Anolis sagrei: one gene and its partner. The protein of the gene in region 1 binds, or shares a complex with, the protein of each later gene. Links are inferred from orthologs where the notes say so. Each region holds a gene or a part of one and is shown on either strand. Other genes may lie near its edges.

What was found.
Region 2: the proteins of CCKAR (region 1) and CCK are in contact, whole or in part, in a cryo-EM structure (PDB 7MBX), measured with the Homo sapiens proteins. The link is inferred for Anolis sagrei from reciprocal best matches to the Homo sapiens genes CCKAR and CCK. Residues at the interface, in NP_000721.1 of Homo sapiens: Cys94, Phe97, Asn98, Pro101, Asn102, Lys105, Asp106, Phe107, Thr118, Met121, Gly122, Val125, Tyr176, Phe185, Asn194, Met195, Cys196, Arg197, Phe198, His210, Leu213, Leu217, Ile329, Phe330, Ala332, Asn333, Arg336, Ala343, Glu344, Leu347; in NP_000720.1 of Homo sapiens: Asp96, Tyr97, Met98, Gly99, Trp100, Met101, Asp102, Phe103.

Annotation. Positions count from the first base shown.
Region 1 is NC_090025.1:113,172,811-113,184,078, forward strand, and holds the start of CCKAR (cholecystokinin receptor type A), read right to left. Parts: upstream 5,024-11,268; 5' UTR 5,017-5,023; coding exon 4,899-5,016; intron 1,759-4,898; coding exon 1,507-1,758; intron 1-1,506. UniProt on the Homo sapiens protein: Receptor for cholecystokinin. Mediates pancreatic growth and enzyme secretion, smooth muscle contraction of the gall bladder and stomach. Has a 1000-fold higher affinity for CCK rather than for gastrin.
Region 2 is NC_090026.1:76,143,027-76,154,412, reverse strand, and holds the start of CCK (cholecystokinin), read right to left. Parts: upstream 4,341-11,386; 5' UTR 4,167-4,340; intron 1,456-4,166; 5' UTR 1,454-1,455; coding exon 1,207-1,453; intron 1-1,206. UniProt on the Homo sapiens protein: This peptide hormone induces gall bladder contraction and the release of pancreatic enzymes in the gut. Its function in the brain is not clear.

The DNA of each region.
Region 1 (11,268 bases):
TAAAATACTGACAACAAAAACACAACAACAATTCCTCCTACCTCCAAACAAAAACTGTATTCGATCTTTGTTGGCAGTGGCAATATATAAATACCCAAGTAAGACTTCTTACACTTCAGTGCTGACAACTAGCAACAGTGACGTTAATTTCATTGACCATGCTACCCATAAGTACACATGTGTAGATTATAGAAGGCGAAAAAGATGGTCTGACGTTATGCCTAAGTATCCTAAGGATACTGGGAGCACAGTGCAAGACTCACTGGATTTTAGGCACATATTAAAAGCTTGGTTCAGATTCTTCAATGTAATTCTGGGCTTTTAAAAAAATCAGAATCCACTTGTATCCGATTTTGGGAAGATTTCAATAAATAGGATAAAGGTTAAAGGAATTGCTTTGTATCTTGGGGGAAACCAAAACTTTCACAAAAGCACCACATACATGGAGGACATTGCATATGTTTACATTGTTCATTATGGTTTTCAGAGAACCCTTTGAAAGATAGCAGCAACTGGTGTGTTCTGTGTTGATGGGAGTGGTGAATCCACTTTGCATTTTAGTCTGAACTTTGAAGGAACTCTCTAAGGTGCTGAAAGGGATAGTTTTATTAGGAGTTCCTCCATGAAAAAAATCTCTAATAGTCGGCAAGTTGAAGGGCAGCTTGCCCACACCACTAATAATGTTCCCTGCCATGTTCAGCTGCCAGAAAGCATTGGGAAGTACTTTAGGGTATCTGTGCTTCACAAGGGAGACCCACCACAGCTTCGGGCAGCATCCACGCCAACTGGGTGTCAACTAAAGAGCACAATATACTGTAGAAGTGTGCAGCAGTTTGATTGAGAGGGGTTCACTGCTGCCTCCACTCCTTGACTTGGTTAAACAATCACAAAAAACAGAAATGACATCGGCACTCACTCCAGCTCTTACAAATGAATATTTCCACTTTAAAACACGGCACGCAGGAAAGTGTGCCTTGTGTAGAAGTTAATTACTGCTGGGAAATGGTGAGCACTTTCATAATGATTGTTTTAAACTGCTTGTGTTGCAAGGTGTATTTTTGCTTCACTCCCAAATTTGGTGGGAGTGCAATGAATATAAATGTGAAAATGTGTGGTTTTAGCCTCTGCCATGGGAGCATATTCAGAGGTGCCCTGTTGACTGCAAAAAGGTATGAGGAAGGCTATTATGATTATAAGCCATGTGTTGTCTATTTTGGCCTAAATGTTTGGGTGTCACTTTGGCACTGTTATTCTCTTTCAGCCCAATTTACCTCCCAAAATAGTTTGGAAGATAAAATGCGGGAAACAACAAACTCCATTTAGAGCTCCGTGGAGAAATAGTAGGCTATCAAGGTAATAACTTAGAGAAGAAAGGCCCTGGAACTTCTACACCAGGCAAGCAGTTCTTGATAAGGTGACCAAAGATTTCTCAGCACACACATCAATATAGAAAGTTGAAAATGTCTACATCCCTGGCAGAGAGGCATTACTGGTCCATAAACTCACCCATGAAGTAGCTGGTAATTTTACAGAAAGTACTTCCAAAAATGAAATCCTGCAGGAGGTTAGGAATGAGGGTGAAAGGCATGCAGAAGAAACAAAGCATGAGATCACTGATGGCCAGCGACAGCAGGAAGATGTTTGTGACAGTCCTCATTCTCTTGTTTCGGATCAACACAATCATTACCAGGGTGTTGCCCAGGACACTGAGCAAAAAGATCAGGGAATATAAAATAATCCGAACTGTCTGCCCCAAATCTGAAAGTAAACAAAAATGAGAAAATATCAGAAGAGACACTGCAAGAGGTTACAATTGTTTTTCTTTGCAGTATAATGAACTATCCTTTGCTTTATTTTTTTTTATTCAAATTGTGAGCCATTTTGGGTCTCCTACTGGGAGAAAATTACATAAAGAAATAAATAATTGGTAAATAATGTGAGTGCATGAAAAGCAGTAGTGGATATTCTACTAAAAATGCTTGTTTTAGTAAGATGAACTTTCCTTATCCTAGTTTGAAATGTTACCCAGTAAGCACCTTATTCCTTTAATCTTTCTTTCTGCATATGTAGGATAATACTGTATAAAGGTAAAGGTTTTCCCTTGACATTACGTCTAGGTATGTCTGACTCTGGGAGGTGGTGCTCATCTCCATTTCTAAGCCAAAGAGCCGGTGTTGTCTGTAGACACCTCCAAGGTTATGTGGCTGCATGGAGCACTGGTACCTTCCCACCGAAGTGGTACCTATTGATCTACTCACATTTGCAAGTCTTCAAACTGCTAGGTTGGCAGAAGCCGGGGCTAACAGTGGGAGCTCACTCTGCTCCCTGGATTTAAACAGCCAACCTTTTGGTCAGCAAGTTCAGCAGCTCAGCGGTTTAACCCACTGTGCCACTGATCATCTATGATCATTCAAGAAGCCCCTTTCACATCCTTCCAGGGGCATATTTACAAGGCAAAGTAAAATGAGAGTATTTCCCTCTCCCAGTAGCAATTATGTTCACCTTCTCCAGTGAAATTTTCTTTTACTCCCCAAATTCTTCTTTTATCAGTCTTTTTATGCTTGTCAAGCTCCTTCTTGTCCTCTCTCTATCTGGAGCCTTTTTAAAAGAAGCATTTATATTGGGAAGGAGGTCTGGAGAAACACAGACTTTGGGCAGCAGCATGTCTTCAGTAACCAATGCACTATACCTTAAGCTGGGAAAGAATGGACTTCTGCTCTAGCTGATCACAATATAATTTTATATGTCAGCCTACACCAGGCAAGGTGAACAGCTGCCTCCAGAATTCCTTACTGAGCAGGTATGAATAACAAAGAGAGGGAAAAGGGAAAACAGGTATGTTTGCCTCACCAGATACTCCTAAACACATTTTTAAAGGGATAGATCTATAATTCTATCTATGGAAGTCCAAATCATAAGAAGAGTGGCCACTGGGGAAAAAAATCCCTGGATTGATTTTGGAATAAGTCTTGGTTTTCAGAAGATTCAATTCATTTTGTTTATTTGTGCAAGACTTCTCTGGAGAGGTTAATTTCATATGTGCATATTTTTAGTTCTGAATAAAATGTTTGCTGTTTATCAGTCTACTTTTTTGTGCTGTAGGAATCTACCTGAGTATTTCTATTTACACCTGCCTCTGATGACAAGATTTCTATGAAAGGCATAATGCCCAGGCACACATGTACTTCACTGAGGTATACATGTATTAACTGTTCACACTGCCTTTGTTAACTGTTCCATCTCTTTTTCTTTGAAGTCTACATTGTATTGCTGAATATTCAACTGATGTTTCACATTATTGCAATACTAGAAATTTGGAGATTGAAGAAAACATTCACTAGGGGAGCGGAGGCAGTGGCATGAGCGGGGGTTCCTTTTATTTTGCCCCTTGCCTATAGCTAGGCATCTGCTTCTGTCCTATTCTATCCGGTGCCATAACTGTGCACCTGCTAAAATTTCCTGTTCCAAAGTATTGTTACAAGCCCCAAAGCCCTGTCTTTGTAACTGACCTGTTTCAGCTACAGTTGGAACAGCGCATTTGGCAGCTATGGAATTTCCAGCCTGAATTAACTACTGGAATCCAACATGTGTGCAAGTGTTAAGTGTAATTTGCATGGGAAAGAATTCAGAGCCTAGAAACAGAATTTCTGTAGGACAGCTATAAGAATCACCTCATAAGCATGATCAGTGACCAAAAAAGCCAATTTTCCAGCTCTCGAAAAATGAGAGGTAAGAGGAAAGGTGCTTAACCCATTTCCATGCTGGCTACATTTCCTTAGCCTGCTCCCTCTCCAGGGTCCTTCCACACAGCCCTATATCCCAGAATATCAAGGCAGAAAATCCCACAATATCTGCTTTGAATTGGGTTATCTGAGTCCACATTCAGATAATGTGGGATTTTTTTTTTTGCCTTGATATTCTAGAATATAGGGCTGTGTGGAAGGGCCCTCCAGTTACTTCTCTTCCAGATGGCTTTCTGAGTTCTACTTGCTAGTTAACTTAAGATGGGTAGCTGGGCTTGAGGAACAGAGGGGAAACCTGGAAGAAAGGTGATACATGGAGGAAGGGTTAAGCAGCCATTTGTGCTTGTTATTTCTTCCTCGCCAGTATCCCCTTCCCATCTCTTTTTTGACATCATATTGGGAATTTTGTATTTGCTACCAAACATGTAGTTCTATCCTAAAAGGGTAAAAAAACTGTCACAGTGGTTGGATTGTAACATTAGTTCAGGTTCTGCAAAAAGCTTGGAAAAGGCTGCATCTAGGTACAATGAAACACAGATCTGGTGTGTATTTGGATCAGTTGCTCTGTCAAGTATAGTTTTTAATTGTTTTTAGATTCGTTGATTTATCTACCAGGAATACACCACATGCTTCCTTTCAGAAATCTGGCATACTCTGCTTGTACTTTATCACCTCTTATTGCAATCGAACACCTCACAAATTGTGAAGAATTGTAAACCACTGACTTAGGAGGTTTGCAAAGCTTATCAGCTACCAGGAGAGCAACATAGGTCTCTACATGATTTATAGTTGAATCTATTTTTTCTCTTTTGTACCATGTAATATTTAATCTATTTATGTCTTCTATGCATAATACTGTTCATAACAGCAGTCCTGATTTTCTTTGAGAAAAGCTATTTGATATTTTCTAGTGTTTTAACTTTCTCTTTTGAACATTTTCTGTCTTGACTTACAACGGCTATTTTTTCTTGTCAACCTGTACATTATTCTTTAAATGCAGTTATAATCAGAAAGTCACTACATTAATTTCTAGCATTCGCTTTCATCAAAACACATCCACAAAAAACCAGTTTGTCACTTAAAATCTTGCTTAAATTATTGACTATAGATTAGTTACAGGTGAAACTATCTAGTTTATTTTTCAAAGGTACCTACCTTTATAAAGCTGACGATGATTCCTGCAGTAAAATGTATTATTTTCATAGTCGAGCTCAGACAGGAGTAAGGAAATATTGTGGTCGAAGCCAAATATGGTACTATTAAGTTTATCCATGCTTCACTTTCCAGAAAATGCAGAAAATGCAGTTCGAAGCTTATCTGTTCATTCTTTTGATGAATGCACACAGGGCTTTGAAAAATTCTGTAGCAGGAGGATTTGACAGGAGAGAGAGCTGTCCAAGCCAAAGTAGTCCTTTTTCAGTCACCCATGGGTAATGCTTTGTCCACAGTATGCTGTGAAGCATGGGAACGGTTGCTTCTAATAAGATATGAGACAGCTTGGATGCCGCAGAGAGAAATGCATGCATATACACAAGCACTCCGTTCCCTCTCTCTCCTAGGTTCCTCCCTCTCCTTTCTACTGAATTACTGACTGAGCTGGTGTTGGGATCATAACCATACTAAAGAATGATTACAAAATTAACCCCTAGTACAGCTGCTCACTGCTCCCATATGGTCAAGACTTCCTCCATACGCAGAGATTTATAAGCCTGAGTTAGTAAATCAATTGCAATTCAAAGTGCCACAAATAAGCTTCCTGCAGCTTGCTCTTAGACATATTTACTCAGAAGTAAATCTAGTGAGTTCAGTGGGATTGACTCCAGGCTACACAGACTAACATACTGAGGCAACAATGTTTGAAAGGATATTAAGCATTATTCCTTTCAAAGTACATATAACTTGTTTTCTGTTTCTCTTAGATATTAACTCTTTATTTATTTAAATTAGTTCTAAACAGAAGTTCGTCCGATGGATTCTAGGACAATCTCCAACAGACTCATGAAGAATTCAAACAAAATATAAACACAATATCCTTTGTAGTCAAATGTCAGACTAGAATTCTCCCTGCTTGTAGTGCTTAGAGGTCCCAACATCCACACTACTGACCTCATCAGGCGGGGTACTTTTTGGTGGCATGCACTTTTTTTCTTTACTTTTGTAATGAAACTTGATGGTTCCCATCCCACAACATAGAGCTACTTCTGGTATGGCTCTGCATAAAATTAAAAACAAACAGCAACACAGGAGGCTTCCTGTGAGGTATTGGATCAATGGGGGGAAGCTGGGTGATCAATGCTTTCCCCCATGGGATGAGCCAAAGGGTAATGTCTAACTTATATTCAGTCTAAGCCCTCTCTAGGACTGGACATTCTGTTATAGCATTCTCTTACACCAGTATTTTAAAGTCTAATCACCAGTAAACACAGTGATGGCACAGAAACACCTGAGATTAGTACTTTGGCGAAAATAATTATTTTTCAGAAAGTAGCAATAATGCTGCTATATATCTTCTAGCTTCATGAATTGTGCTGCTTCTAGTTCTACTTCTGCAGTGTTTCACATTTCCAGCCAAGCATATGTGTCTCTGTGGGTGTCAGGGAGGTGGAAGACGCTGGATAGTTGTCCATAATGCAGCGTCTTCAGCTATGGTGAGATAGTGCCAAGTAGAGGCAATTAAGGTTTTCTCAGCATTTGAAAGATAAATAAAGGGATTCCAGATGTTTGTTTTGATAGCGTCTAAATGAAAATCAATTTGGTTTCTTAAATTGACCCCTTGGATTGCTCTGTGTGAGAATAACTTTGTATTTTCTGAAGAAAGTCACCTTTTCCTTGCTCTCCATGATTTGAGATTTTGGCCCTGCTTTCATGTCATGTTTTCCTGTTTGGAAGCGGGAAATCTCATTTGGATACAGTTTTTGATCCAAGTTTTGTGCATTTTGGCTTTACTGTCAGTACAGGACATTATTTATTGCTGCCTCAAGAATACTCTGACTGTAACCTAGATTTTGGAATGACCTTTGCAGCTTATACTTTGGATGTACTTTCAGTTTTGCTTTATACATATACCTTGAAAATACTTTAATACTCTTTACCTTGGAATGTATTTTGAACTAGTTTTTTTCTATAGAACACTCTTTTCTTTAATAAACATTTGATTCGTTGATTGATTCCTGTTGACTGAGCAATATGTGGGCTAAGTAGATCTTCATCTTGGGTGAAAAGGAGTCACATAGGTGGTTGGGCTGCAACAGTGGGGAAAGTCTTTTTATTGTTTTTCTTCACTTTAAAGACAGAGTCTTACTGAGCCCATCAAATGATGTAGGACTGATTCCAGTGGATTTCATCTTTAAAGTGAAGAGAAATGGAGCCTTGTGAAGCCGGGGAAACAATTGGCTTCAAAGCTTTCACTTAATATTTTGGGGAAAAACACATTTTAGAAATGGAGAAATACCTGAAACCCATGGTATGAGCTTGTGTCTTGTGAAGGGCTCTGTCGGTAGCCATTTCTTAAATGTGCAGAAACGCTGATTTTACTGTGTGTGATGACGTCCTTAGAGGATGATTCTCCCCGCTTGCCCTACCCCTCATGTGACAAGATCCTGTATGTGCCTTCAAGTTGTCTGTTGACTTGTAGTGACCACATGGATAAAATGATTTTCTAAGGCAAGGAATATTCAGAGGTGGTGTGGCTAGTTCATTCCCCTGAAAAACGGCCTATAGACCTATTATTTTAATGGTCTTGTATCCAAGTGCAGGCTGAGGACACCTTATTCAGAATTCTGAAATTGGAAGTACTCCAGAATTCAAAACATTCCACATGGATGGCTGAGATAGCAACACCTTTGTTTTCTGATGGTTCAGTGCACACACACTTTATTTCATGCACACTATTATGAAAACCATTGTATAACCTTGCCTTGAGACTATGTGTGTTGGGTATATATGAAACATAATTGAATTTTGTTTAGATTTGGGCCTCAGCTCCAAGACATTTCATTATGTACACAAATACAGGCATTCCAAAATCTGGAAAAAATCTTCTCAAATCCAGAACACTTTTGGTCACAAACATTTCTGGTCTGAGTTTGAGTCCCTCTACGGCGGTTGAGAAGATTGGGATATAAAGGTTTTAAATAATTTTTAAATAATAATTTCAGATAAGTGATTTCAACCTGTACTGATCAGTTTACAAGTTCATATGGGGTTTGGTGACTTTTATGGGAAGAAGATTCCTGATTCCTCAGGTTCCTGGTCATGTTCTATATGTTCAGATTAGTGGTGTTCCCATCTGAGCAAAGACTTGTTGAATCTATATCAGATCCATTTTTAATCAATGTAATTGGTAGATTAAGCCAGCAAAGCTTTAGTTCAGTTGTTGATTGGGGCAAATTGCAATCAGTATGGTTGAGATGGGAAGGCAAATTGGCGTATGCTTTTTTAATCCTTTAAAACCCAACACCAGGCAGACTGGAGTTCTGATAGTGAAAAGTAGCTCTTTGTTCATTTAAAAAACTTCTTTAAGGGCATAATGTCCTTTAAAAATACCTATAATCATTACGTTTTTGGTAATATGCAAATACATTTAAATTTCATTGATTAGACGCCTGATGATTAATCAACTATGAGAGTTTTAATCATCAACCCTAAAATGTATTAGTTTATACAAAGGAATAGGTGATTCCTTTCTGTCAATCACTGCAATGAACAACAGTTTAATTGCAGCAGTATGTGGGAATGGATGGAGATCGCAGCATCCACCCAAAAACAGAAATAGCATAGCTTTGTGAACATACCTTCTGTGCAGCCCATCTTATCCTTCTCCCCAAGGAATGTGACTAAATATTTCTCTCTCTTAAAGTCAGCTTTCTCCTCCTATTCTTCCTCTTTTTCTTGGTGGAACCTGTTACTTCTGTTTGGGTAGACATGACTAATGAATGACTGGTGATAAGCCTATTAACCTTGATAGCTAAATAGTGCCTTTGTTGCTGTATGCTTTCAAGTCATTTCTGATTTAAGGCAAGCCTAAGTTAACACTGGGGCCCAAGGTCACACAGTGGGTTTTTGAACCGACATGTACGTTAAACACTGTACCTCTGAATCCCACATGTTCTAGTCAAGTAACAGGACAGGACTGTGCTGTTGTGCTTTGCCTGTGAGGTATCCGACTAGTTACTTCTGGTAATCAGGTGCTGGACTATGTGGGGGAAATTCCATCCATGCATTGCATGCAGCCCACATGGCTATTGGTTCCTTATCACCATCTGTACTTTCAGTGTCACGTTTATTGTCCTAAAATGGGCCAATTGCACATATAGAAGTCCATAGGAACTGGCTATTTCGGTCCAATTTTGAAAGCCCAGGAGATCCCCCACCAAATCCAGTAGCAACTGGCAACATGATGTGAAGATGGGGCTTAAAGTTGTCATGAGGGTTAATGAATACTTGAAGATTCTACACCTGGACTAAAGAGATATTGATGTGGTGCAGAGAGATATTGATGTAGAGAGATACTGTTGTGACATATTGATGTTTTGTATTTCATACAGTTGGTTCCTGACTGCTCAGTGCCTACTTTCATACCTTGATCAGAATATGCAGAAATACAAAATACAAACCTCTGCATCTGTTTCATGTCTCTAGAAATATATTTCAAATCAGGTATAATATAATGTTGTGCAGCTTTGGCATTTCCTTTCATGTCTGAGCATATTAGCAATTGAAGGGGTTTTTTTTTTGGCTTGAGTCCAGTTGCATCATTAATCTCATCTTCTGGCATTATTTCTTTCTTCATTTTGGAATGACTCATCATAAGATTTTCATATTGGAGGATATTCATAATTATAATTATATATTTTATTTTACATATAATATTACTAATAATATTACAATATAATGGTATAGTACAATATGTTGTTGTTCATTCATTCAGTCGTTTCTGGCTCTTCGTGACTTCATGGACCAGTCCACGCCAGAGCTCCCTGTCGGTTGTAACCGCCCCCAGCTCCTTCAAGGTCAATCCAGTCACTTCAAGGATACCATCCATCCATCTTGCCCTACAATATACAATATTACCTTCAAAGTGCTGATTCTTACCTTTATGGCCTTATATGGCCTGGGGCTGGAGTACCTGAGGGACCGCCTCACCCCTACCAACCCCCAAGATCATTCAGTTCAGACGATCAGAATCTCCTTGAAGTTCCCAATTTTAGGACCTTTCACCTGATGTCTACTAGGTGTAGAGCATTCACGGTGGTGGCTCCTTACCTGTGGAATGCCTTGCCAGCGGAAACACAAGCTCTCCAAGACTTACCATCTTTTTGTCGAGCTTGTAAAACTTATTTATTTAGGCTGGCATTTGAATCTTGCTGATTGAAATTTTCTTTGATTTTAAATGTAATGTATCGCATATGTATATTGTAAACTGCTCCGAGCCTTTGGGGACTGGTGGCATATAAAATTGATAAATAAATAAATAAAATATAGTAATATAGTATAATATAGTAATATAAAATACTGATATTGTACTATGCTAATAATAGAATGTATGTATATATATCTTGTAAGCCACTCTGAGTCCCCTTCGAGGTGAGAAGGGCGGCATATAAATGTCACAAATAAATAAATAAATATTCAGATGTGGTATACCGGTGAAGCCTTCTGCACAGCACTTGCTCTTTTAGAGTCAGCTAAAACACCACTGCCATTGCCTTTGAAATATCCTCTTCCAGTATTAATCCCCATGCGGAGTCCCTGGTGGTGCAATGAGTTAAGCCCTTGTGCTGGCAGGACTGTTGACCAAAAGGTTGGTGGTTTAAATCTGGGGAGCAGGTTGAGCTCCTGTCTGTCAGCTCCAGCTTCCCATTTGGGCACATGAGAGAAGCCTTCCATGGGATGGTAAAACATCTGGGCATCCCCTGGAAAATGTCCTTGCAGACAGCCAATTCTCTCACACCAAAAACGACTTGCAGTTTCTCAAGGTACTCCTGACACAAAGAAAAAAAATCACTCCCCATGCACCCCAATACTGCTGCTACCGAATCACTGTTTAATACTTATACTGAAGTAAAATACTGTTTGATATGGGTGATCTTACCACAAGCATGGTTTAGCCCTTCAGAGGAGCACCAATCACACTAATATGAGCTGATAGTGCCATGGTACACCACAATAGAGCTGCAAGTCTAAATACATATCTAAATTATAGAAAGACAAAAAAACTACTTGGGTGTCAATGTCTGCAGAAAAATGGGGAAAGGCCTGAGATAAGGGGCACAAACAAGGGAAGGCAAAGAGGGAAAAAGAATAAAGATTTCTGAGGAAAAAAGTGAATAAGCTCAACTGGGGAAAAAATGGGGCTTGTTATCCACTGGGGTTTATTCTAGGTCTCCTGTAGATACCAAAAACTGAGGATGCTCAAGTCCCATTATATACAATGGTGTAGTAAAATGGTGTAACTTGATGTTTTCAAATTATGGATAGTTGCATCTATGGGTACAGAATCTGTGGCTAGGGAGGACTAAATGTA
Region 2 (11,386 bases), on another chromosome or scaffold:
ATGCAAGCCCTGGCTCTTCTGCAACATTGTTGGTGAACCACAATAGATTTTGCTGTAGGTGAAAAGCTTTTGTAGCCCATTAGGTTATAATTCACATTCTTGCATCTATTCCCGAAGAGATGTAATGGAACACTCAATCTAACAATAAGAGCTTATTTTCATGCTTATTTTTCTTCTCCTGTGAGTAAAATACTACAGCTCTTGACTCTATAATCCTATAGCCGATTAGCCAGTTGTAAGCCCTTCTGAACTCCTTGGGAACTTAAATTGGATTGCACTATAAGCCTCCTTTACAACTCTGGAGCCCGTACTAAGTAATCATTTAATCGTCACAAGGGCTTCATTTAGATTCCATTAAAACAACACCAAAATGCACACCAAAATGTGCATTTGATGATCTCATCTTAATAGCGGAATTAATTATATTGCAAGGGAGCATTAGTTCATAAAAGGAATAGCTGTTACTCAACCGTCTCCTAAATGGCAAGAAAGAACTAGTCCCACTTTTACCTGTCCTTAGATATTTGGACAGTTCGTAAATATGTTTAAATCATATGTTGAGGTATTTTAAAAAGTATTTTGAGTAACAATAGGTCATTTACAGCTGGTGATTCCGAATGTTGAATGTTTCAGAGTTCCAAGCTCTGAATGTTTGTCTGAAGTTTAAAGTTGTGATACCACCTTTCGCATTTGGAATAAACCCCATAGTGGATGCATCACCTCAGTGACAAAGAAGATAGCAGGCACCACTTGTCTTTTCTATATAGGTCATGACTTATAATGTAGATAATTCTGGTCATCACTATATAAAATGGAATCCAGAAAGAGTCTTTGAAGGTCCTCATAATACCTGGATCTGGGGAGGCATTAGTTACATGCCTTCTCTTCTTAATACATCTATGTAGAGAGAGTCAGCATAGTGTAGTAGTGATTTGAGCATTGGATGTCTGGAGTACAGGGTTCAAATCCCTGCTAAGCCATGCAAACTCACTGGGTGACCTTGGACAAGTCACACTCTCTCAGCCTCAGAAGAAGGCCTCTGAATAAATCTTGCCAAGAAATCCCCATGAAAGATTTGCCTTAGGAATTGGCTTGATGGCAGATAACAACAACCAATGTGTGTGGAAGTGAGGTTGTGCAGGTAGATGGGAAATTACTGAAATATCTTTGCTTAGATACACTTAGAACATGTATCAAAGTATTTACCTCTTCGGGCTTGCTGGAGGTATTTGGCTAAAAGAGCTACCATGTTGGCTTTCTGGTCCACGCTGCCATCAACCTGCCGGATAGTTTTCTCTGCATCTGGGTTACGGATGTGCCGGTGGTTTTCCAGCAAATTCTGCTCAAGATCGGTGGCCACAGGATTGCCATTGTGGGAGCCCGATGTCTGCTGTCCTGAGGAGCTCATGGACAGCACAGCCAGGAGGAGAAAGAGGCAAATCCCACTATACATAGCTAAAGAGAAAAGAGGAGAAAACATGATGAAAATCCTGAGTGGATAGATGGAGGGAGACAGCTTTGAATTTACAAGAAATGTGCTTACAAAATCAAGGTTTAAACCTTATTGTTGATGGCCATTTCTCCAGCAGCCTAGAGATGCTTTGGGTGAAAACTACTCTATTACATCACCAAATAAACCCCACTGGGAGCCTGCAAGTCTTAAGACAACAAGTGGCTTGAAGACCAAGGCTTTCCATACATTTCTTCTCTTGGTTAGATTTGAAAACATCTTATCTAATGAAGGGATCTGAAGATCTTGAAAGGTTACACATGTCTTTTCAATCTTTCCCTTTTAGTCCATTGAAGGTATTGCCAAAACAAGAGTTCTAAATGTCAGTTGTTTCCAAACATGAATATATATCTCTCTCTCTATCTCTATCTCTCTATCTCTCTATCTCTCTCTCTCTCTCTCTCTCTCTCTATCTATCTATCTATCTATCTATCTCAAGACTTCAGAAGTATCACATACAGATCAGTGGCTGAAATTGCTAATCACAGAAAATCAATCTATGGGAATTCTGTTTTGTGGAAAACTTACATCTTTCTGTGATATTGTTTTGAAGTGAAGTACTTCATGGCATTTTTTTTGGCTTGGATTTTTAGGCTATGCAGAATTCAGTATATGGAGTGATGGAAGGAGGGCTAATTTTGCCCTTTTATAAGTATGATCTGTTCGCTTTTTGGGGGGAAAGTTGGTGAAAGCTTTACATCAGTGTTTTTGCAGTTGTTATTTTTCACTGTGCAGCTTTTCCAAATTCTAGAAAAACTAATAGGGTCGACTTCATTCTCAGATTATTTCAATGTAGACCAAATTGATATGCAATGCCCCCAGATCATATCATGGTGTTAATTTCTCTGGGGTAACCAATGCAAATTGGAATAAAATTGAAATGATTTGATTCTCTTGAGAGAAAAATGCTACACTGATTTGGTTATGAATAAAGAGTGAATGAAAGTTCTGATCTGCAAGAAAGGGATTTCACCATCCTAAGTAACCTTAGGTAGTTTCATATGCATTCCTTCAAAATAGATAGATATAGATGGAGATAGATATCTGCCATTTGTGAAGATGCTTTGATTTAGAGAGGAAAACAGTATGACTAGAAATGTGTGTGTGTGAGAAAGAGAGAGAGGGAGAGAGAGAGAGAGAGAGTTGTACTGATTCTATGATTTGACACATTTATGAAATAATCACACTTCATATATTGTAGTTGTTAGATAAAACTACCTGAAAATATAGCAGAGCATCCAAAAAATCAAACAGGATACTTAAAAGTTGAGCATTCAGCTCATTAGTGAGCAGAGCATGAAGTGCCGTTGGTTATGAGTGTAAAGAATTTAGAGCTTAGGCAGGCAAAGATGTAGAGTCCAATCTTAAAAATCACAAAAGGTTTGTTTACAATAATAAACAATAACTGCATTTCTTAGTAAAGAACTGGATCTAACACCCATCTCTTTCAAAGAGAGGGGGAAAAAACACCAATCACTACATGTATCTGACACGCACACAGAGAGAGATCTCAAAGCACACAGCACATACTCAGATGTAACCCCCCCCCCCAAAAGTCAGATTTAAAAAGATTTGCAGTAGAAAAGTATCCAATCTACACAAACAATCAGAATAAGAGCAGAAACAGAGAGGAGAGAAGAAATAGATACATTCCTATCTGTCAAACAGGAGACATGGGGGAAATGAAACACTTAGCCTATTCTAACCAACTTGTTCCTCATTAAGAACTTGAGACTTGGGCAGTGTGGGGTTGAATTCCAACACTACTATCCCATTTTACACACAGAAATCAGAAGAAGAGCCATCCTCAACTAAGGGTGTGCATGTACCACATATTTTAGCAGAAGAGTTTAACATGTATCCTACACAGCAAGAAAAGTTGGCTCAATCATGCCGAATTCTGTACTGCGTGCTAAAAACATAAACCTCCTTAAGTATTACACATACTACACAGTACATACATAACACCTTTTTTTGAAACTCTAAAGCTAGGTTGGTTGTACGGGGAATAAAAATGAGTCAAAACATCATCCTGCATCTAGTTTCCCTGTACCAATTAACAAATCAGAAGTAGGAATGTAAAAGGATAAAAAGACTACAGTTTCCTAGACACCTATCACCTAATCCATTAAAACTATAAACTATACACATTTACCTTTAAACTCAAGGTGTCTTACTTTTAAGTAGACATATATACGACTGCATTGCATGTTGGATTGAAATAAAATAACACTTGCTCTCAATACTTTTAGGACTGGAGTTTCAGGGGGAAAAAAAACAAACATCCCATATTTCTGTTCTTTATGCAAAAGTATCTTTGTCTTTTAGCACAGCGGAGACAAATTCACACAGCAAAAGTTCTGGCTAAAAAAGAACAAGTTAAACATCCAGTCTTGTGAAACAGGATTCTGTTAACCAACATCATCCACATTAGCAAAAGATTCAGAAAAGTTGCAAGCACAACACACAAATAACAATATACTCCTAGAGCTGCCTTGTACGTTTCTGCAGGTTGTAGCTGTCTATATTTTTCCAATTTATCAGTGTAGTCCAAGATAAATGTTCACTTTGAAAAATAAGAAAATTACTTCTGCCTTTGGTTTTTCACCACCCAGCCAGCTCTAATGAAACTTAGAAGTTTGTTATGGTATCTTACCTTTGGAATGAGGTGCAGATTCCTGCTGTACACCAGAGAGAAGAGGCAGCCTTGAGGTGGTGGCTGAGCCCTTCTGCTCTGCCTCTTAAATAGTCTGGTTCAACAATGGGAAGAACGTAGTTTGTTTGCACAGATCTGACGCAACTGTGGGAGCACCACATGCTTCGCTGCATGGATGGAGCAAAGCAGCGAAGCATATGGGGAGGGGAGGATGCGAGGGGGCTTGGAGAGATGAAAGCATCCTAAAGAAAAGACAGGACTCCTGGAGTTTAATCCTGTCGGTGTTTCCCTGACAATTCTTCCTGTCCCGTAACTAAAACTAAACAGCGCTGAGCCTCCCAAATGAATGTCCTGAAAGTTATTTCTTATCTTCCCTGAACAGTCAGATTTTCTTTTGGTTAGCCAATGAAGGGATATTCTTTTTGTGTCAGGAGCGATTTGAGAAACTGCAAGTTGTGTCTGGAGTGAGAAAATTGGCTGTCTGCAAGGATGTAGCCCAGGGGACGCTGGGATGTTTTTGATGTTTTACCATCCTTGTGGGAGATTTCGTTCATGTCCCCACATGTGGAGCTGGAGCTGACAGAGGGAGCTCATCTTCACTCTCCCTGGATTCGAAACTCTGACCTGTCAGTCAGTCTTCAGTCCTGCCGGCACAAGGGCTTAACCCATTGTGCCACCGGGGGCTCAGGGATGCACTCTATGCAATGTCAGTTCCATCAAACTAAACATCATTCCTTGCAGGCACACAGCAAACTTATGAAGCACTGGATATTCTTCTCCCAAATACCCAATGGGAATACAATTAGGTATGCATTATCATTTTAAAGGTGTATTGGAGCAGTTGGTAGTACAATATTAATTTGTATTAATGATGATGATGACTGTTGAAAACTATGTCAGATATTCCAGAAACTGATTCTAGACCCCTGAGTACAGAACCCTTTACTTCTAAACAGGCAAACATAAAATTACACTGTAAATATAGACTGGTATGGGAACCAATACTGTGTAGTGATTTGAGAATTGGACTATAACGCTGAGGACCAGCATTTGATTCTCTTCTCAATCTTGAAAACCTACTAGGTTTTTGTTTTTGTTTTGTTTTGTTTTTTGTGTGTGTCAGGAGCGACTTGAGAAATTGCAAGTTGCTTCTGGTGTGAGAGAATTGGCCGTCTGCAAGGAGGTTGCCCAGAGGACGTTGGGATGTTTTTGAAGTTTTACCATCCTTGGGAGAGGCTTCCTTAGTGTCCCCACATGGGGAGCTGGAGCTGACAGAGGGAGCTCATCTTCACTCTGCCCAGATTCAAAACTCTGACCTGTTGGTCTTCAGTCCTGCCGGCACAAGGGCTTAACCCATTGTTTCACCGGGGGCTCAGGGATGCATCAAACAGTTCCATCAAACTAAACATCATTCCTTGCAGGCGCACAGCTGCTTTGACTCTTCTGCCCCATTTCTGCTACATGCGACATGATGGACTTCCTAGCTGCCATCCATATGTGCACTGAATCCAGAACAAGTTGAACATTATTTAATTTTATTTCTGGTGGCTTCATGTGCAACTAACTTTGTCTCAATCCACAACAAGGGATCAAACATTTTTGAGTGTACCTGCTTGAAGAGAAGTTTAATCATCAACAATGACGAAAAAACTGAGTTCAGGTAATGTAACCAATGCCTTCTGCATATATGACAGCTTAACAATAAATTGAAATGGGTTATCATAGATGGAAGCATAGCCCAGTGAAATGAAACAGAATGTTACCTATTAAAGAGAACATGTTATCCTGCCCCAGATTGGGAGGAAAAAACAGCGTATCCCCCGCCTCTTCTACATCTACGCCTACATCTAAGTCTACGTCTACGTCTATATCTATCTATCTATCTATCTATCTATCTATCTATCTATATAAAAATGTAATGTTTGTTTGAGGTATTAACAGAACTCGAAATCCGCTGGACAAATTGACACCAAATTTGGACACAAGACACCTAACAACCCAATGTATGTCCTTCACTCAAAAAAGTTGATTTTGTCATTTGGGAGTTGTAGTTGCTGGGATTTATAGTTCACCTACAATCAAAGAGCATTCTGAACCCCACCAACGATGGAATTGAACCAAACTTGGCACACAGTTCTCCCATGACAAACAGAAAATACTGGAAGGGTTTGGTGGGCAGTGTCCTTTGGTTTTGGAGTTGTAGTTCACCTATATCCAAAGATCACTGTGGACTCAAACAATGATGGATCTGGACCAAACTCTACACAAATACTCAATATGCCCAAATGTGAACACTGGTAGAGTTTGGGGAAAATAGAATCTTGACATTCGGGAGTTGTAGTTGCTGGGATTTATAGTTCACCTACAATCAAAGAGCATTCTGAATTCCACCAACGATAGAACTTGGCCAAACCCCCCACACAGAACCCTCATGTGGGCCACAGCAACGTGTGGCAGGAGATGGCGAGTTTACAATAAAAGTGAAAATATGTTTGCTTGTATGTATGTTTGTATGTGTTTTCCAAGAAGTTTGTATGCAAGTTCCTGGGAGTCCTTTGATGCCCACCTTCCTAATGCCATGACCTCTAAATACAGTTCCTCATGTTGTGGTGTCCCCTCACCATAAAAGTATTTTCATTGCTACTTCATAACCGTGATTTTGCTACTGTTATGAATTGTAATATCAATATCTAGTATGCATGATGTATTTTCATTCACTGGACCAAATTTTGCACAAATACCCGATATGCCCAAATCTGAATACTGGTGGGGTTGGGGAGGATTGATTTTGTCATTTGGGAGTTGTAGTTGTGGGGATTTATTGTTCACCTACAATCAAAGAGCATTCTGAACTCCACCAATGATGGAATTGAACCAAACTTGGCACACAGAACTCCCACAACCAACAAAAAATATTGGAAGAGTTTGGTGAGCATTGGCCTTGAGTTTTGGAATTGTAGTTCACCTGCTTCCAGAGAGCACTGTGGACTCAAACAATGACAGATTTGGACCAAACTTGGCACGAATACTCAATATGCCCAAATGTGAACAATGGTGGAGTTTGAGGAAAATAGACCTTGACATTTTGGAGCTGTAATTACTGGGATTTATAGTTCACCTATAATCAAAGAGCATTCTGAACCCCACAAATAATGGAATTGAGCTAAACTTCCCTCCCTCCAGCCCCGCATGTTCTCCCTCACCCGCGCATGTGCTCCATGCTACCATGCGCCAAGCACACCTGCTCTCCTCTCCCCGCTTGGAGTCTCAGAAACAGCCCTCCCCTTGGCCTTCTCTGCCAAAGAGGTTCCTAAGACCATCAGAAATATATTCTTTCTGATGGTCTTTGGCAACTGCTCTAAAAACTGCCTTTGCTACCAACGTGGGCTAGAACTTCACCAAACAAGAGCTCCCAGGATTCCATAGCATTGAGCAGTAGAAGTTAAAGCGGCATACACTGTAATAATTCAGATGCACCCAGGGCACTTGGGAGTTGTAGTTTTATGTGATCTCTTGTCTCCTCTAGCAAAGTGGGCTGTGGACTCACCAAACAACTCCCAGGATTCCATAGTATTGAGCGGTGGACGTTAAAGTGGTATCCAACTGCATATGTTCAGATACGCCCAGGCACTTGGGAGTTGTAGTTTTATGGGATCTCTCCCTTCTCTACCAAAGAGGGCTGGGAACCTCACCAAACAACAACTCCCAGCATTCCATAGTATTGAGCCCTGGAACTGCATTCATTCAGATGCACCTAGACACTTGGGAATTGTAGTTTTATGGGATCTCTTGCCTTCTCCATCAAAGTGGGCTGGGAACCTCATCAAACAACAACTCCCAGGATTCCATAGTTTTGAGCCCTCGAACTGCATTCATTCAGATGCGCCCAGACACTTGGGAATTGTAGTTTTATAGGATCTCTTGCCTTCTCTACCAAAGTGGGCTGGGGCCTCACCAAACAACAACTCCCAGGATTCCATAGTATTGAGCCCTGGAACTGCATTCATTCAGATGCGCCCAGGCAATTGGGAATTGTAGTTTAATGGGATCTCTTGCCTTCTCTACCAAAGTGGGCTGGGGCCTCACCAAACAACAACCACAGGATTCCATAGTATTGAGTCCTGGAACTGCATTCATTCAGATGCACCCAGGTACTTGGGAATTGTAGTTTTATAGGATATCTTGCGTTCTCTACCAAAGTGGGCTGGGGCCTCACCAAACTACAACACGCCCAGGAATCCATAGTGTTGAGCCATGGCTGTTAAAAGTGGTGACAATCAAACTGCTCTTTGACCGCCTATAGCTGTCAAGAAGCTTGACTTCTTAGTGATAGATCTGTATCAGCTGCTGTTTAGGAAGACCCCAAACCCATCCAGCTTTCCTTGGCTTTGCCTGAGGGCTTTTCCTTCCTCAGCCCCAAATTGGGGACCTGGACCAGGGAAACGTCTGAGTCTGAAGCACCGGCTCTGCTCTTGAGCTCCTGGGTCTGGCTGGAGCCTCCTCTTTGCCTGGCTGTCTTGGGCGTGGGCGCCGGGGATCCATCTGGCACAATTGATCCTCCCTGGCGCCGTCCTCTGGGACCATTGATCCCCTTGGCCAGCTTCCCCCTCGCTCGCCTGCCCTTCTCTCTTGAGAAATCGCTCTATTTGCGGGGATTTGGGCGCCTTTTCCGGGACGGGGGCGCCTCCCTCGCTTCCCCATCGACTCCAAGCCGCGCCTCTCCCGGCTCTCAGCATCACCCTCGCTCAGGGCATCAGATCCCAGGAGCTGGGGGCTGTCTTTCAGGGAAAGAGCTTGCTTTCAGACCACCTCTGAGCCTAAGAAATCCCCATGAAGCTGCTTAGCACACAGAGAAGCTTGCATCAAAATACCAGCTGATTGGATGTCAAAAGCTAAAGATTTTAGACCCTTTTTCAAAACTTTCCTGAATGTATTTCCCTTTCAGGTGACGCCAAATGAAGTGTAAAGATACAAAGAGTGGATGCAAAACCTCACCAAAACATTTGGAAAAGTCTTACTTTCTTTAAAATGTATCTAATTACAGTCTATGTGAGCTCCTGTGTGAGGTTGCATTTGGAACATTGACATCTGGAAGTGGATCCAATAATAATAAAAAACATAAACATAAACATAATAATAATAATAATAATAATAATAATAATTTGCCGATACATCACATAGTCCTAGACACTTGGAAAATGTCTGACATGTGATGCAATACAACAGCCAGCAGAGTGATCTTGTCTGCTGTGTTTCAAATAATAGTATTAACAACAATAATAATAATTTGCTGATACATCACACAGTCCTAGACACTTCGAAAGTGTCCAACGTGTGATCCAATTCAACAGCCAGTAGAGTTATCTTGTCTACTGTGGACTCATCTTGTTGTGTTTCAAATAATAATAATAGTAATAATAATAATAATAATAATAATAATAATTATTCACCGATACATCACACAGTCCTAGACACTTGGAAAGTGTCCAACGTGTGATCCAATACAACAGCCAGCAGAGTGATCTTGTCTACTGTGGACTCATTTTGTTGTGTTTCTAATAATAATAATAATAATAATAATAATAATAATTATTATTATTATTATTATTATTTGCCGCTACATCACACAGTCCTAGACACTTGGAAAGTGTCTGACATGTGATCCAATACAACAGCCAGCAGAGTGATCTTGTCTGCTGTGGACTCATCTTGCTGTGTTTCTACTACTACTACTACTACTAATAATAATAATAATTCGCCGATACATCAAACAGTCCTAAACACTTGGAAAGTGTCCGATGTGTGATCCAATATAACAGCCAGCAGAGTGATCTTGTCTGCTGTGGACTCAATTTGCTGTGTTTCTAATAATAATAATAATAACAATTCACCAATACATCACACAGTCCTAGACACTTGGAAAGTGTCCGACGTGTGATCCAATACAACAGCCAGCAGAGTGATCTTGTCTACTGTGGACTCATCTTGTTGTGTTTCAAATTATTATTATTATTATTATTATTATTATTATTATTTGCCGCTACACCATACAGTCCTAGACACTTGGAAAGTGTCTGACGTGTGATCCAATACAACAGCCAGCAGAGTGATCTTGTCTGCTGTGGACTCATTCTGTTGTGTTTCTAATAATAATAATAATAATAATAATAATAATAATAATTCGCCGATACATCATACAGTCCTAGACACTTGGAGAGTGTCCGACGTGTGATCCAATACAACCACCAGCAGAGTGATCTTGTCTGCTGTGGACTCATCTTGCTGTGTTTCTAATAATAATAATAATAGTAATAATAATAATAATAATAATAATAATAATAATTCACCGACACATCACACAGTCCTAGATACTTGGAAAGTGTCCGACGTGTGATCCAATACAAAGCCAACATATTCCATATGTTTGCCCATTCTTGAATTTTCCTCCAACACCACAGTTCAAAAGCCTCTATCTTCCTTCGCTCGGCCTTCCTTATGGTCCAGGTCACTCATCCGTAGGTTACTACAGGGAATACCATTGCTTTAACTGTGCGGATCTTCATTGCCAGTGTGATGTCTCTTCACTTTTTATTTCTATTTTTTATATTTCTACTTTTTTCTATATGCTTTTACCAATAAAAACTACTTTTGGATTCCTGGTTGGTGTTGAGTGCAAGTGAAACCTGAGTGGGGTGTAACACTTTGTATGTAATGGGACTTGCATATCCATGAATGTTTGTATCCTCAGGAATCCTTGAACCATCCCCAATGGATACCAAGGACAACAACAATTATCATCCATATCCATTGTAAGCAAAGACTATGCCTGAGAACATAGGAAGGGTGGTATACACCATTGCTTCTTAATCTGTGAATCCTGACCTTTAATGGGGTTGCTTTTACTCAGTTTTGGGGTTACAAAAATTGGCCACAATACAAGTTTTCCGACTGCCACCTAGTGACTGTTTTAGGCACTTTCAGGTTTTTGCTAGCAACAACTTAGTGTTCACAGGAGACTCTGCAGAAGATGCTTCAGCTGTATTTCATAAAAAGGCAATTCAGCCTGCTAAGCAAGCTTTGCAAATACTGATTTATTTACCACAAATATTTGATTTTTATACCTATTTTAAATTTCTAAATACCTGGGGTCACATTAACATTTCCCATTCCAAAAAGGGTCTTGAGTGGAAAAGTTTAAGAAGCCTTGATGTAGATTATAG